Oryzias latipes: one gene and its partners. The protein of the gene in region 3 interacts with the protein of the main gene of each other region in a pairwise test. Links are inferred from orthologs where the notes say so. Each region holds a gene or a part of one and is shown on either strand. Other genes may lie near its edges. The genes, in order: mtmr9, sec24c and mos.

Evidence for each region.
Region 1: the proteins of mos (region 3) and mtmr9 interact in binary tests that used the Homo sapiens proteins (3 or more experiments, as listed by UniProt). The link is inferred for Oryzias latipes from reciprocal best matches to the Homo sapiens genes MOS and MTMR9.
Region 2: the proteins of mos (region 3) and sec24c interact in binary tests that used the Homo sapiens proteins (3 or more experiments, as listed by UniProt). The two-hybrid records come from large-scale screens. The link is inferred for Oryzias latipes from reciprocal best matches to the Homo sapiens genes MOS and SEC24C.

The regions. Positions count from the first base shown.
Region 1 is NC_019882.2:13,974,916-13,979,326, forward strand, and holds the start of mtmr9 (myotubularin-related protein 9), read right to left. Parts: upstream 2,813-4,411; 5' UTR 2,717-2,812; intron 2,698-2,716; exon of another isoform or gene 2,488-2,697; intron 2,405-2,487; 5' UTR 2,403-2,404; coding exon 2,221-2,402; intron 1,783-2,220; coding exon 1,674-1,782; intron 959-1,673; coding exon 833-958; intron 751-832; coding exon 577-750; intron 489-576; coding exon 271-488; intron 138-270; coding exon 1-137. UniProt on the Homo sapiens protein: Acts as an adapter for myotubularin-related phosphatases. Increases lipid phosphatase MTMR6 catalytic activity, specifically towards phosphatidylinositol 3,5-bisphosphate and MTMR6 binding affinity for phosphorylated phosphatidylinositols.
Region 2 is NC_019877.2:12,923,946-12,927,595, forward strand, and holds part of sec24c (protein transport protein Sec24C), read left to right. Parts: coding exon 1-583; intron 584-661; coding exon 662-792; intron 793-1,377; coding exon 1,378-1,446; intron 1,447-2,885; coding exon 2,886-2,994; intron 2,995-3,407; coding exon 3,408-3,535; intron 3,536-3,650. UniProt on the Homo sapiens protein: Component of the coat protein complex II (COPII) which promotes the formation of transport vesicles from the endoplasmic reticulum (ER).
Region 3 is NC_019878.2:1,546,230-1,549,627, reverse strand, and holds mos (proto-oncogene serine/threonine-protein kinase mos), read right to left. Parts: upstream 1,920-3,398; coding exon 939-1,919; 3' UTR 539-938; downstream 1-538.

The DNA of each region.
Region 1 (4,411 bases), on a different chromosome or scaffold from region 3:
AGGCAGTTGTGAGGATTTCCCTGACATGAGACAGCCAGTTGGACGCCTCTAGCTTGCTCAACCAGCGGTCCATGCTGTGGGACTGATCATTACAAGCCTCCACCAGTTTTATCAGGCTCTCCTGGAGGACGTTATACCTAAAAATGAACACATTTTATCGAATTATAACACAAATAGATAAAGCAAAAACAAATATCTCCTTTAAGATAGAGATCTTGCTATGAAACATTTACAAAATCATCACTGGATCAGCTGCAGTCCTTCAATCACCTCTCAATGGATTTGTGGATCCTCCTCCACTGTGGGTAGTTTGCCTCAGACTCAAATCCCCCCCCGCGAGCTTTGGCCTGCTGGGCAACATTAATGGTGCGAGTGTCAATGATGTAGCCGCGCTTTCCAGGCCTCAGAGTGGCATTGATCAGTTTTTCGTCTTCCTTACACCGCCTCCCGTTGGTCCCCGCCAACGGCTGTCCGGCTCGCATCATCACCTGAAGACAGACATCAGGATTTTTAGGAGGATTCGCTGCTATTCCCTCAGGCAGTGTCATATCTTCGATCCATTCTAAGCGCACTTACCATGCCGTTTTTGCTGTGATAGTAACTAAGCACTGGGAAACGGCCGCCGTGGCGAAAGGTGGCAACTTTCCTCAACGCGTCATCGTCGACGTCTTTGGGTACCACCACAAGAGAGGGATATGACGAGCACACGCTAAAATCCTTATTGACTTCACTCAGCCTCCACTCATCGGTCTAAAAGAGGGAACGATACGTTAAAAAGAGGGAGAGGACTCGTCTGAGTCAGTAAAATGACACTTGTCAGATTTAAGCGGACCATGGACTCCAAGCCTTTAAATGCATTCTGTGGAAGAAAAGAGTTCCATCCATCCTCCAGGACCTCGAACATGGGCCGGTAGAAGAACGGATACATGAGGGAGACGGAGTCAAGAGTGGACAGGGCCTAGACGGGACACAAAAGCGACAACATGTTAAGCCATATTGCTTAATAAACCAAATCCAATGAAAATTGTGTTTTTGGTGTTTATTACATGTTCTTGTGGCATTTTTCTGATGATGGAGGACATATATATTTGTAAAATTCTTATTAAAACTGTATTTCTCAATATTCATATATTCAAATCACGAAACAGGAGCAGACAAAAAATGCAGTGTTTGTGATGTAGAAAATACAGTTGGTGCATCACAAGCTCTTTGCTCCGCTCAATTCTGATGCATCGAGTTGCAGACAAATAGATCTTTGTTTTCCTCGTCTGAGCTGGAATCTGGTTCAAAACTGTACGGCTGGATAGTTACAGTATTGCTCGCTATTTATTTTTTTTGCACAGCTAATGTTAAGGTTGGGGGTGTGAGGGGCTGTAAGCTAGGGGGAAGAGTGTGCAAACAGATAGGTGATGGGAAGTGGGAGTGGGGTTGCTGCACGCCTACAGTCCCGCAGACAACTCAGAGGTGAATTTCTAGTGAACTACTGCCACTCTGCAGAAACTAAAAAAAATGTGTCTAAAAACAGCATAATTGTCGTTAAAACACCACTGGGAAAGCTTTTAGAATAGATCAAAAGATGATTGGGACTTTAATCGCATGGATTATCGAGCTAGAGTTTGCAATAAAAAGGAAAAAGAAAAAAAAAACTCTGGGGCATCATTAAGGCTTTTTACCTCAATGGAGCTGGCGATGTTCAGGCATTCCTCCATGCCGGGGATGTCGAGCTGAATCACTCTCAGGTCTTTGCATTTGACGATGATGCTTCCCAACGACCCAACAAACCTACAAGAAGGAGCAAATTGTTAAACAAATAAATAAATAAAGTTTCGCAGAAGGTTGCCATCAGAGGACAAAACCCATTTAAAAGGAAAACGTGTAGATAAGCGTGTTAAGGTCTGCACTGATTCCATTACAAAGTCTCTTGTTTTGTTCAAACACTTAATATGTTTTGATTTTTGTCTTGATTTTTAATAACCTGAAGTACATACGATCGTGCTTAGATTACCCCAAATGTAAAGATAAATGCTATTTAGTTTTCCCCAAAAAATGTTTAAAAATGACTAGCACATCTGCATCTGTCATAGCAAGGAAGTACCAAAACATTGTCTGTTGATCTTGATGGAGCATCAAATAAAGACCATGCAAACAAACTGAACAGGAAACAGATGTTAAAAGCTGTCAAAACAACAGGAAGATGCTCAACTATGAATGCAGCGTCACCTCTTCTCAATGGAGTCGATGTTTGAATGAAGCAGCCACAGCTCCTCCGTGTTGTCCTGTCTGGAGGAGAGAATTAGATGGTGGCCAGTTAAACAAAGAGTCCCTTCCACGTTGGGCATGAAGGGCCGGTGCAGGACAACGCCGTCCGCTCGGGGAGTTTTGATCAGCTCTGCGAACTCCATGACTGTCAGGACACAAAAGTATGCGCACAAACACACTGGTTACTCAATTCAACAGGACTTATGTGGCGTTTCACTGCAAACTAACCACAGAAATTGATGTTGGAGATAAACTGCTGCCAGACTGACGAGTCACTGAATCAGGAAGCAAAGTGGCTAACATTAGCTAGCAGGCTAATTGTGCAATAAATCCATGATTTTCTTTAGACGTGATTTGTGTCACCATAAATATTGTTAAACGTTTAAAGTACGTCTATGCTATTAATTTTTGCAGCCACGTTTTCCACGAACGCGAAAAAGGTTTGTCAGACACTTACCTGATCCTGTTTTGGGGCTTTCGGACAGCTGGGTAAATATTCCGAGCGCACCCCACCGGAAACGTCTCCCGGAAATGTCTTTTTCCCAAAAAACTTTATTAACACAATACAAAACAACAGATAGGAGAAAACACTACTGTGCAACTATAGCACATCAAAAATATGCATTACAGTTCAGAGTTTTATGTTTTGTTTTTGAACATAGAATAAATGGCACGTTTTGTTTTAAATATGCTGCTTCTTTAAAAGATGAAGTGTTCTTGTAGCCTTCGCATGTGTTCTTGTTTTGTAAGAGGACTTAAAGTCCTAATAATAGATTGCAGTAAAACAAGGTTGTAAGCTGGACCATTCACATTATGAATATGGTATTTCCCAAAGATAATCAACAGTTGAATTATAAAAATGACATTTTTTGATAAGCCATGTAATTCAAATATAACATGACATAAAAAATATTAATTTTGATGTCTAGATTCAATTTTGTGATGAATAATTCTTCCAAATCCGACACAATTTATTTGTGTAGATACAAATAAATTGCAGAATGGCTTCCCTTCTTGACTGGCAAAAAACACAAGATTCTTTGATCCTTATTCTAAATTCTGTAATAATTTGATATGACATTTTAAATGAAACTTCTTTTATTTCGTTATTAATGCAGTATTTATGAACAGGAGAAATAGCATTTTCCTGATGTAGGTCACCCATGGTTGAAAACCAAAAAAGCTTTACAGCAGGTGGAACTGAACGAGAAATCTGATTGAACTATATGGTGCATCCTTATTGTGATGTCCACATCTCCAATAAAAACTCTATTGATTTCAGCTCAATCAAGTTTTAATGATATATGTTTTAGAAACTGAAAGTTTTAGAAACTGAAGGGAGATGGTACGATTGCATCGAATACAACGGCATATTCTTTCGGTGTCACTGGTAAGCCAGAACTCTGAAGAAATTCTGAATATGACATGAAAAAATCATAGTTTAGTAACTGACCTACCAACAGTATTCCTCTGTCAAACCATGAGCAGTAAAACGATTATTGGAATTATTATTAATTATTGGATTAAAGGAATTCTTTGCAAAATCCTTTGCAAAAAAACAGAAAAAACAGTTGCTAATAAGAGATCTGGACTGAGCAACCCCCCCCCCCCCCCCCCCCCCCCCCCGCGTACCAAATAGGGAGTACCTGCTGGCTCCAAGAAGCCAAAATCCCATAGACTTCTATAGATAATAAAACAGCTATTACTCAGTCATTTTATTTGACAGAATGACAATTCTTGCTCTGAAGCTTGTTTTTAACATGTTCTTGTTAATCCTAACTTTTTTCATGATATTGTTGCTTAAGCACAGGTTCCTCAAGGTACAAAATGACCAATCAGATGCCTGAATAAAAGCACTCGGACCAATCACTGCTTAATGTCGTCGTCTGGACTTATTGGATGTACCTATACATTAAATGAAATTGCATATTAAGCTGATGTATGGCATCAAACTCTCTGCCTGTGCAAATCAGTGAAAGTTGATTTGCTGTGGCAACCCCTGAAGAGATATGTAGATGTATAAAACATTTTACCTGACTAAATATCAGCCAAATTAGGAAAAACATAACCACAGTGATCTGCAACTGTAACAACAGTAAATGATAATCACACAGTTTCAAACTATCTTCATAAGTGTGGGCGATATATATAT
Region 2 (3,650 bases), on a different chromosome or scaffold from region 3:
GGTTCTCAGCAATATTATCCAAGCTCTGCGCCTCCTTCTCAACAGCCAATCAGTTCTCTCCCCCCCACCTCTCAGCAACGGTTCGTCTCTCCAGGTCAACCTCAGCATACTTTTCCTCCCTCCTCCACCTCCTACGCTGGTCCGGCCCCTCCACCCACTCAACCTGCTTCTACCCCAGTGACCCAGACACAGCCGCCCTTCCTTCCACATCAGCCCCCTTTCTCCTCAGCACCTGGTGGTCAGCCCCCTGCTTTCACCACTGGGCCACCCCCACCCGCCCAGGGATCCTTCCCACCTCAAGCGCCCCCACCTTCATCACAACCAGGTTCCTTTCCTCCTCCCTCCTCAGTTTCCTCTGGGCAGTACCCTAGCTCTATGCCGCCACCACAGCAGCCTCCTCAATCTCAGCCACCCACCTACCACCCAGGCCCCCCACCTCCCCAAGCCCAAATGCCCCCCACATCCATTGGTCAGAGTAACCATCAGCCTCCAGGACCCCAGGGCCCGCCAAGCCCTACAGGGCCTCTTCAGCAGCCTCCTCTTCAGCAAGGGATGCAGACTGGTTACCCTCCGCAGCATAATGGTGAGAAGATGATTAGAAAGAGATATCAGTGAGAAAGGATTCCTCAGCATGACTCATCAGTTGTGGTGCCCTCCTCAGGTGCGTTTGGGCAGCCAAGAAGCCCTCAGCCTGGTTATGGAGGTCCTTATCAAGGACAACCCAACTACGGAGCTCCAGCTCCAACTCCACAGGCCCAGAAAAGACTCGACCCAGACGCCATTCCAAGTCCAGTAAGCCACCTTAGTGCATGTACTGTTCTCCCACCAATGTTCTGGTTCTGACCCGTGCACCACTTCACTGTTTTTCTAAGCTCCATAAATTAAACTGAATCCTTAAGCAGTTGAGCAAAGGTGTGACAATATTTTAATGACTGGTGACAACTTCAGAATAAAGATTCCTAATTTAAATACTATCAGTTTTTCCTTTCAAAATAAACATCTAGCTGTCATAGGATTTGTGATTTTTATATCGATTTTATCAAATACATAATCATCTTAGTTTTGAGCCAGATTTTCTTGGAATATAATGTACTTTTGAAAAGTTAGGACAACATCAAAATGTTGTTTTTTTTTTGTGCTCAGCTTGAAATACCACCATGGACTGAATCTGCTTTGCTGCTAAATTTAAATCTAATTTAAATCTACTTACACTCAAACTGCTGAAGCTCTAATCTATAACCAGCACTGACCTGTTTGTGAGATTCTGAGCAGTCTTGCTGTGGCCTTTCTTCTCTCGTACCTTTTTTTTGTAATCTTTGTATTTATTTATTTTGTCCTGTTCACACAAATTTGCTGGACAAACATTTGAATATAAAGCAAGCATCTGACATGCCGCCTGTGCAGAAATCAAGACATAGAATAGACCCAGATGCTATCCCCAGCCCAGTAAGTTTCCTGTGTGCTTGTCTTCGTTCTCTTCATCCTGTCACTTCTGCCTGGTTGCACTACACCCCCTCCCCCCTCCGTGCTTTTCTGCTCCCCCCCGTACCCCCCGATAAATTTGGTAAAATGGACCACCAGCACTAAACCTGAGATGTGTGTCTAAACAGTTTCAGACTCAACGTTTTCCAATTCAGAGGACTTTTCTGTTGTATGGAAGTTTGTTTGGGTTAATTTGAAGACAAAGTAACATTGTGACAGTGTTAATATGACCAATAAATACATTGATCTACAGTTTAACAGTACAAAGCTGTTCAAGGTGGGCCTTCTTTTGACTGAGGCAGAGTTGGAGGTTAAGGTTTGTGTCTTGGAGTTGCCGGCAGGTGTAGCTGCTGCACTATCTATTTTACATAGCGGCTTAGAACAGCTGACAGATCAGGCAGTAAAGAGTTGCTGTGTTTGTTCACACGCTGCAAGGAGTGATCGAGGAGTTTCCTGCTCTGCATCGCTCTACAGGGCCGTGCAGAGGTGTTGCAAGCTAGAAATCAAGCTAACCTGCCTTTCCTGAACAGCAAAGCACTGCTCATAACGCAGCTATAATGGCCACGTTTTGGCCAGATCCTTGTTCGCTGCTAAAGCTCGCCAGGCTGGATGTAGATGAAGAACATCCGGATGTCCTGAAGCGTCCTCCTAAATACAGGAATAGAATCTTGTGTGTCTGCTGTAGATGTTAATGAGTCCATCAGGATGTGGGGAGTCTCTTTAGCTCGATATGCTGGATCTAAAGCTGTCCTTGGATCCGCCTTGATGCAGATTTTTCCAATGCTCTAGTGGATTGGAAGTTTGTTCTAGATGGTTGGGATTTCAACATTTCAGTTTAATTCTGAAATTCTGAAAAAGTCATTCCTGATGGGCTGTCAAACTAGTTTTCCCTCTTAGAAAGTATTTTCCCAAACGTCATACTGTTTTGTTTCGTCTTTTTGTCTTAGAGCTGACATTGACAGATTGAATTAGATGGTTAAAAATAGTGCGCATTTCTTACTACAGCTTGTGTGTTTATTGGGGAGATGCAGCTCCTTGTTTTGCCTCCTTGACCTAAAACATGGATTGATCCTCCTGTTCTGAACCCTGCATGCCAGCTTGCAGCATTTAACCTGCTCACAGATCCTTGTATTGAAGGCTCATCTTTACAACCCTGTTCTGTTCAAAGGATTTGGTTTTGTGACTTTGTCGACAGTGTGAGCATGACCCTTCACCCTGGCTCTTCCCAATGAGAAATCATTGTTTCTGTTGAAGATGTTACTAATCTGCATGCGGACTCTCCTCCTGCATGGCTGTTTCATGTTCCTCTTTTAGGCGGGATGAGATCTGGGCTGGGACAGTGTGTCTGTACCTCTGGACCTTCACTCCAGGTTGAACTCTCGTGTTGCTTCTCGTTTATCTAGATCCAGGTAATAGAGGACGACAAGGCCAAGACCACCGAGCCGTTCACAACAGGGGTCAGGGGTCAGGCTCCGCCTCTTGTCACCACCAACTTTCAGGTCAAAGATCAAGGTTTGTTCCACTTTTCTTGCTCGTTCATCCAGTCAGGGTTTGAATCCCTGTTTACCTCTAAGCCCAACCTCTATCTGAGGGTTTCTAAAAGGACTCATTATAGCCACAGGTAGGATGTTTAAAGAATTTAATGAGTAATGATGCTACATTATCATCTAAATCAATTTAAATATAATCCTTTAGAATGAAATTAAAAGTTGAAAAGTCTGTAAACTGTGTAAGAGTTTTAAAACATCTATAAATATTGTAAAAATAAGGATGTCTACTTTGCTGATTTCACCTAACAGGTTATTTTTAGAAGGTGATTCCTGCGATAAACATGGGAACTAACTGATCAGAAAAAACGTTATTTATTTGTTTTTACCTGGTGTGGCTGTGAAAGAAACACTCATGGATGACCTGCTGGTTTGTAGGGAACGCCAGCCCGAGGTTTGTTCGCTGCACGGCTTACAACATGCCGTGTACCGCCGACATGGCAAAGCAGTCCCAGGTGCCGCTGGCTGCCGTCATCAAGCCCCTCGCCATCCTGCCGCCTGATGAGGTCGGTGCTTTCCCCTTCTCTTAATTTTCTGAGCTGGAGCTGGACTTTTTGTTGCATCCCTTTTTCAAACAGAGGAAAGTTTAAGTCTGGGTGCGGCGAATGAAGTCTTTTATGG
Region 3 (3,398 bases):
TCATATTTCTAGGCTTTGTTTTGTTCTGCAGCATCTTCATATTTGTATAATTTTAACAGAATCTAGTTTTATGGAGAAATATGAAACATTAAGGTTTAACTTGATTTATTCTGGATTAATGTTCCTGTTTTTATTTATATTTATGATCAAAAAGTTCAGTTTTAAAGGTTTAGAAGTTTAGCTTTAGTGTGTTCAGTAAATGTTTGTTGTTCAGCCCAAAACCTAAAGCCTGTTTTAGATTTAGGCCTCAGTGTGACTGAGTTTAACCCCCCCATACGAGTTTATAAAATGCATGCATTTTTTGTGTAAAATGGACACAAAGATGGAGAACACAACAGGGCTTTGCTCAAAAAGGTTGAAAAACGCTGTTGTAACGTGAACGACGCCCCTCCCACGTCAATCATGTTCAGCGTGGATGCAGCCTCACATTCATATGGAACATACGAACTCAGATCTTTCTACTGTAGAACAGATTCAGAAAGACTAGCTCTTTACTAAATATTTCCCATTGAATTAAACCCACACATTTTTTTACTAATTTTTTTTAAAAGATCATTTAGTTCATTATATAACTTAACTTTAACGTTCCAGCATTTTATCATTTCAAGTTTTTTTTTTACAGTACTCAACATATTTGCTTAAGGACCTTTTAGTACTAGTACTAGGCTGGTTTCTTCAGCAGCATTTGAATGAGCAAACTTCCACCTTTAGTTCAGCATGAAGCTACAGCAGTTTCAGCATCTTCAGCCTCCAGCTGAAACTTTCAGGCCTGAACAGCAGAGAATCAAACATCTTAGAACAAAACAGACATTTGCTACTAGAAACGTTTTAATGACAAGTAATCCAATATATTTACATGTGAGTAAAAGAGCTCCCTGTGAGAACGGAACGGCTTTCAGTCATGGAGAAAGAACGGTTCCAATCCGTGCCGTTCCGGTTTAGGGCAGCCGCTGCAGGAGCTCCAGCAGTTCAGAGGCGCTGGGTCTGCGGCGGCCATCTGCGCTCCAGCACGCGGCCAGCAGCGCGCGCAGCCGCTGCCCCCGCGCACAGCCGAACACCGCGCTGTCCCGCAGCGACGGCCGCAGCTCCTGCGCCACGATGGCGTAGAGCACGCGCTGCCGGTCGCCCGCGTACGGCGGCTCCCGGGTCAGCAGCTGCCACAGCGTGATCCCGAAGGAGAAGATGTCCGCCTTTGGCGACACCGCCTCGCCCTTGAGCAGCTCCGGGGCTCGGTGCGTGTAGGTGCCGCACACGAGGCTGACGTGCGGGTGGTCAGCGCAGGTTTCACGCGCGCGGTCCAGTTTGACAGAGCAGCCAAAATCAGCGATCTTACAGACGTCCTCGCCGCTCAGCAGGACGTTGGCCGGCTTGATGTCCAGGTGCACCACGCCGTGGGAGTGCAGGAACCGGAGGCCGCGCGCGATGTCCGCCGCGTACCGGACGCACCGCGCTCCCTCCAGCGGCTCCGCCGTCCCGTAAATGACCTGCTGGAGGTTCCGGTTCCCCACGAACTCCATTAGAATGGTCCCGATGCTGCTGTCTGCGTCCGAATCTCCTGGCGCGGAGGTGGTGGCCGCGATGACGCGCACGATGTTCTGGTGGTGCAGGTGCGCCACGTTCAGCTCAGCCCAGAAGCTCTGCCGGGAGGCCAGCGTGTTCTTGCTGCACCTCTTCACCTTCTTCAGCGCCACGGTGCTCCCGAGGTACTCCGCCCGGTACACGAAGCCGAAGCCGCCCGAGCCCACGGGCTCCACGGAGCGCAGCTGCTTCCAATGAATGACGGAGGTGCAGGAGCGGGGGGGCACCTGCAGGCTGGAGCCGTGCTGCGTGCGCGCCAGCGGGCTGCTGCACGCGCCGACCACCGCACTCGGGAAGAGGCCTTTGGGCAACAAGCGGCTCGAGGGAATCGGAGAAGGCATGGCGGCTTGAGTCTTCACGCGCCCGCCACAGGTGCGTTTATATGGCGCAGGAGGAGGGACAAAATACCGAGGCGTCAGAAATCCACCGGGACCCCTGTTATGCTCTCCATTCCTCTGCTTTATTGGAAATTACAGGGAAAAAACAGCAACAAACAAACAAATAAACAAACGAAACACCTTCAGGAAGTTGCATTAAACTCGTGACTGGATGCCAAGGAAGTACGTTTACAAAATCAGCCTTACAGAGTCAGGGTTGTGTTTTGATTTAAGTTTAAACACTTACTTGAATACATATCATGTGTGCTACTATTTTAAAAACCTCTTCAAAACTATTTACATCAACTGTTCTGGCATCAGTTTAAAAAAATCACACGTCTTAGTGACCTTTAAAAAAATGTCTATAGAAAAACACAAAGTTGTTGCTGAAATAAATGAGAAAAGCCAAAGTTCAAAAGTTACTGAAATGATTCAAGGTGGATGCTTTTGAGTCGCTGTTCAGCCGAATAAAGAAGTCACCTCACGGTGTTTTTTGGTGTGGAAGATGGATGCACCAGAATGGTGGATGTCTAAAGCTGAGCTGCTAATGATCCAGCTGATGGACACAGCTGGAATTTTTCAGATTCCTGGGTTTGGAAGGACGTTTGTTCGTCAGGGACCAAACTATAGATGGATCAGACAAAGTCAGCCTGTACGGTTTTGGATAACTGATGGCTTTTCCAGGAAAATGATTTGGTTTGAAGCACATGTTGCTGTTTTTTGTGAATGCTGCGATGGAAGGCAACAGATGCACACAAAAAGTCAGACGATAGTGGGAATACAAATATCACTGTGTTGCTCAAACCCATAATAGAAAACACAGTCATTGATAGAATAAAACGACATTTAAACTGGACTTCAACTGATCTGATGAAAGAAAAAAAGAAATCTGAAGTGGGAATATTTATCAATTTAAGAAAAGCATTTGAAATAGTTATTCGTAAAGCATTAATTAAAAAGTTGGACAATCAGAGGAACCGTTTTGGATTGGTTCAGAGGTAAACTGGTAGACAGATATCAGTCCCTCAGCAAACCACATGGTTGCTTATTATCAGACTGACTGTCGGCCAAGTGTACCACGTCCAAGAAAGACGCGAGGAGGACGACATAAATGCAGACTTCATCAAACAGGCATGTTAAGTGTGATTTTTATTAAGTTATTCCATCAATAAAGAACCTGATCTGAAAATTTGTTGTCCATTTTATTTTTTTCTATTTGTTATCAGTTTTGTAAATTGTTTTTCTCAATGGACTTCAGTCAAAGTTTGTTCATATAAACTATTTTAGCGACTTTTTGCATTATGGCTTCTATTTCTTTTCATGAGCATACTTAAAATGTGGATGTATTTGAAAAAATAAAAGTATGGAGCAGAAAAATGACTAAGAAATCAATTTCTCCCAGTTATTCCAGTAATTCCTTTGAAGATGATTCTGTAAATCCGA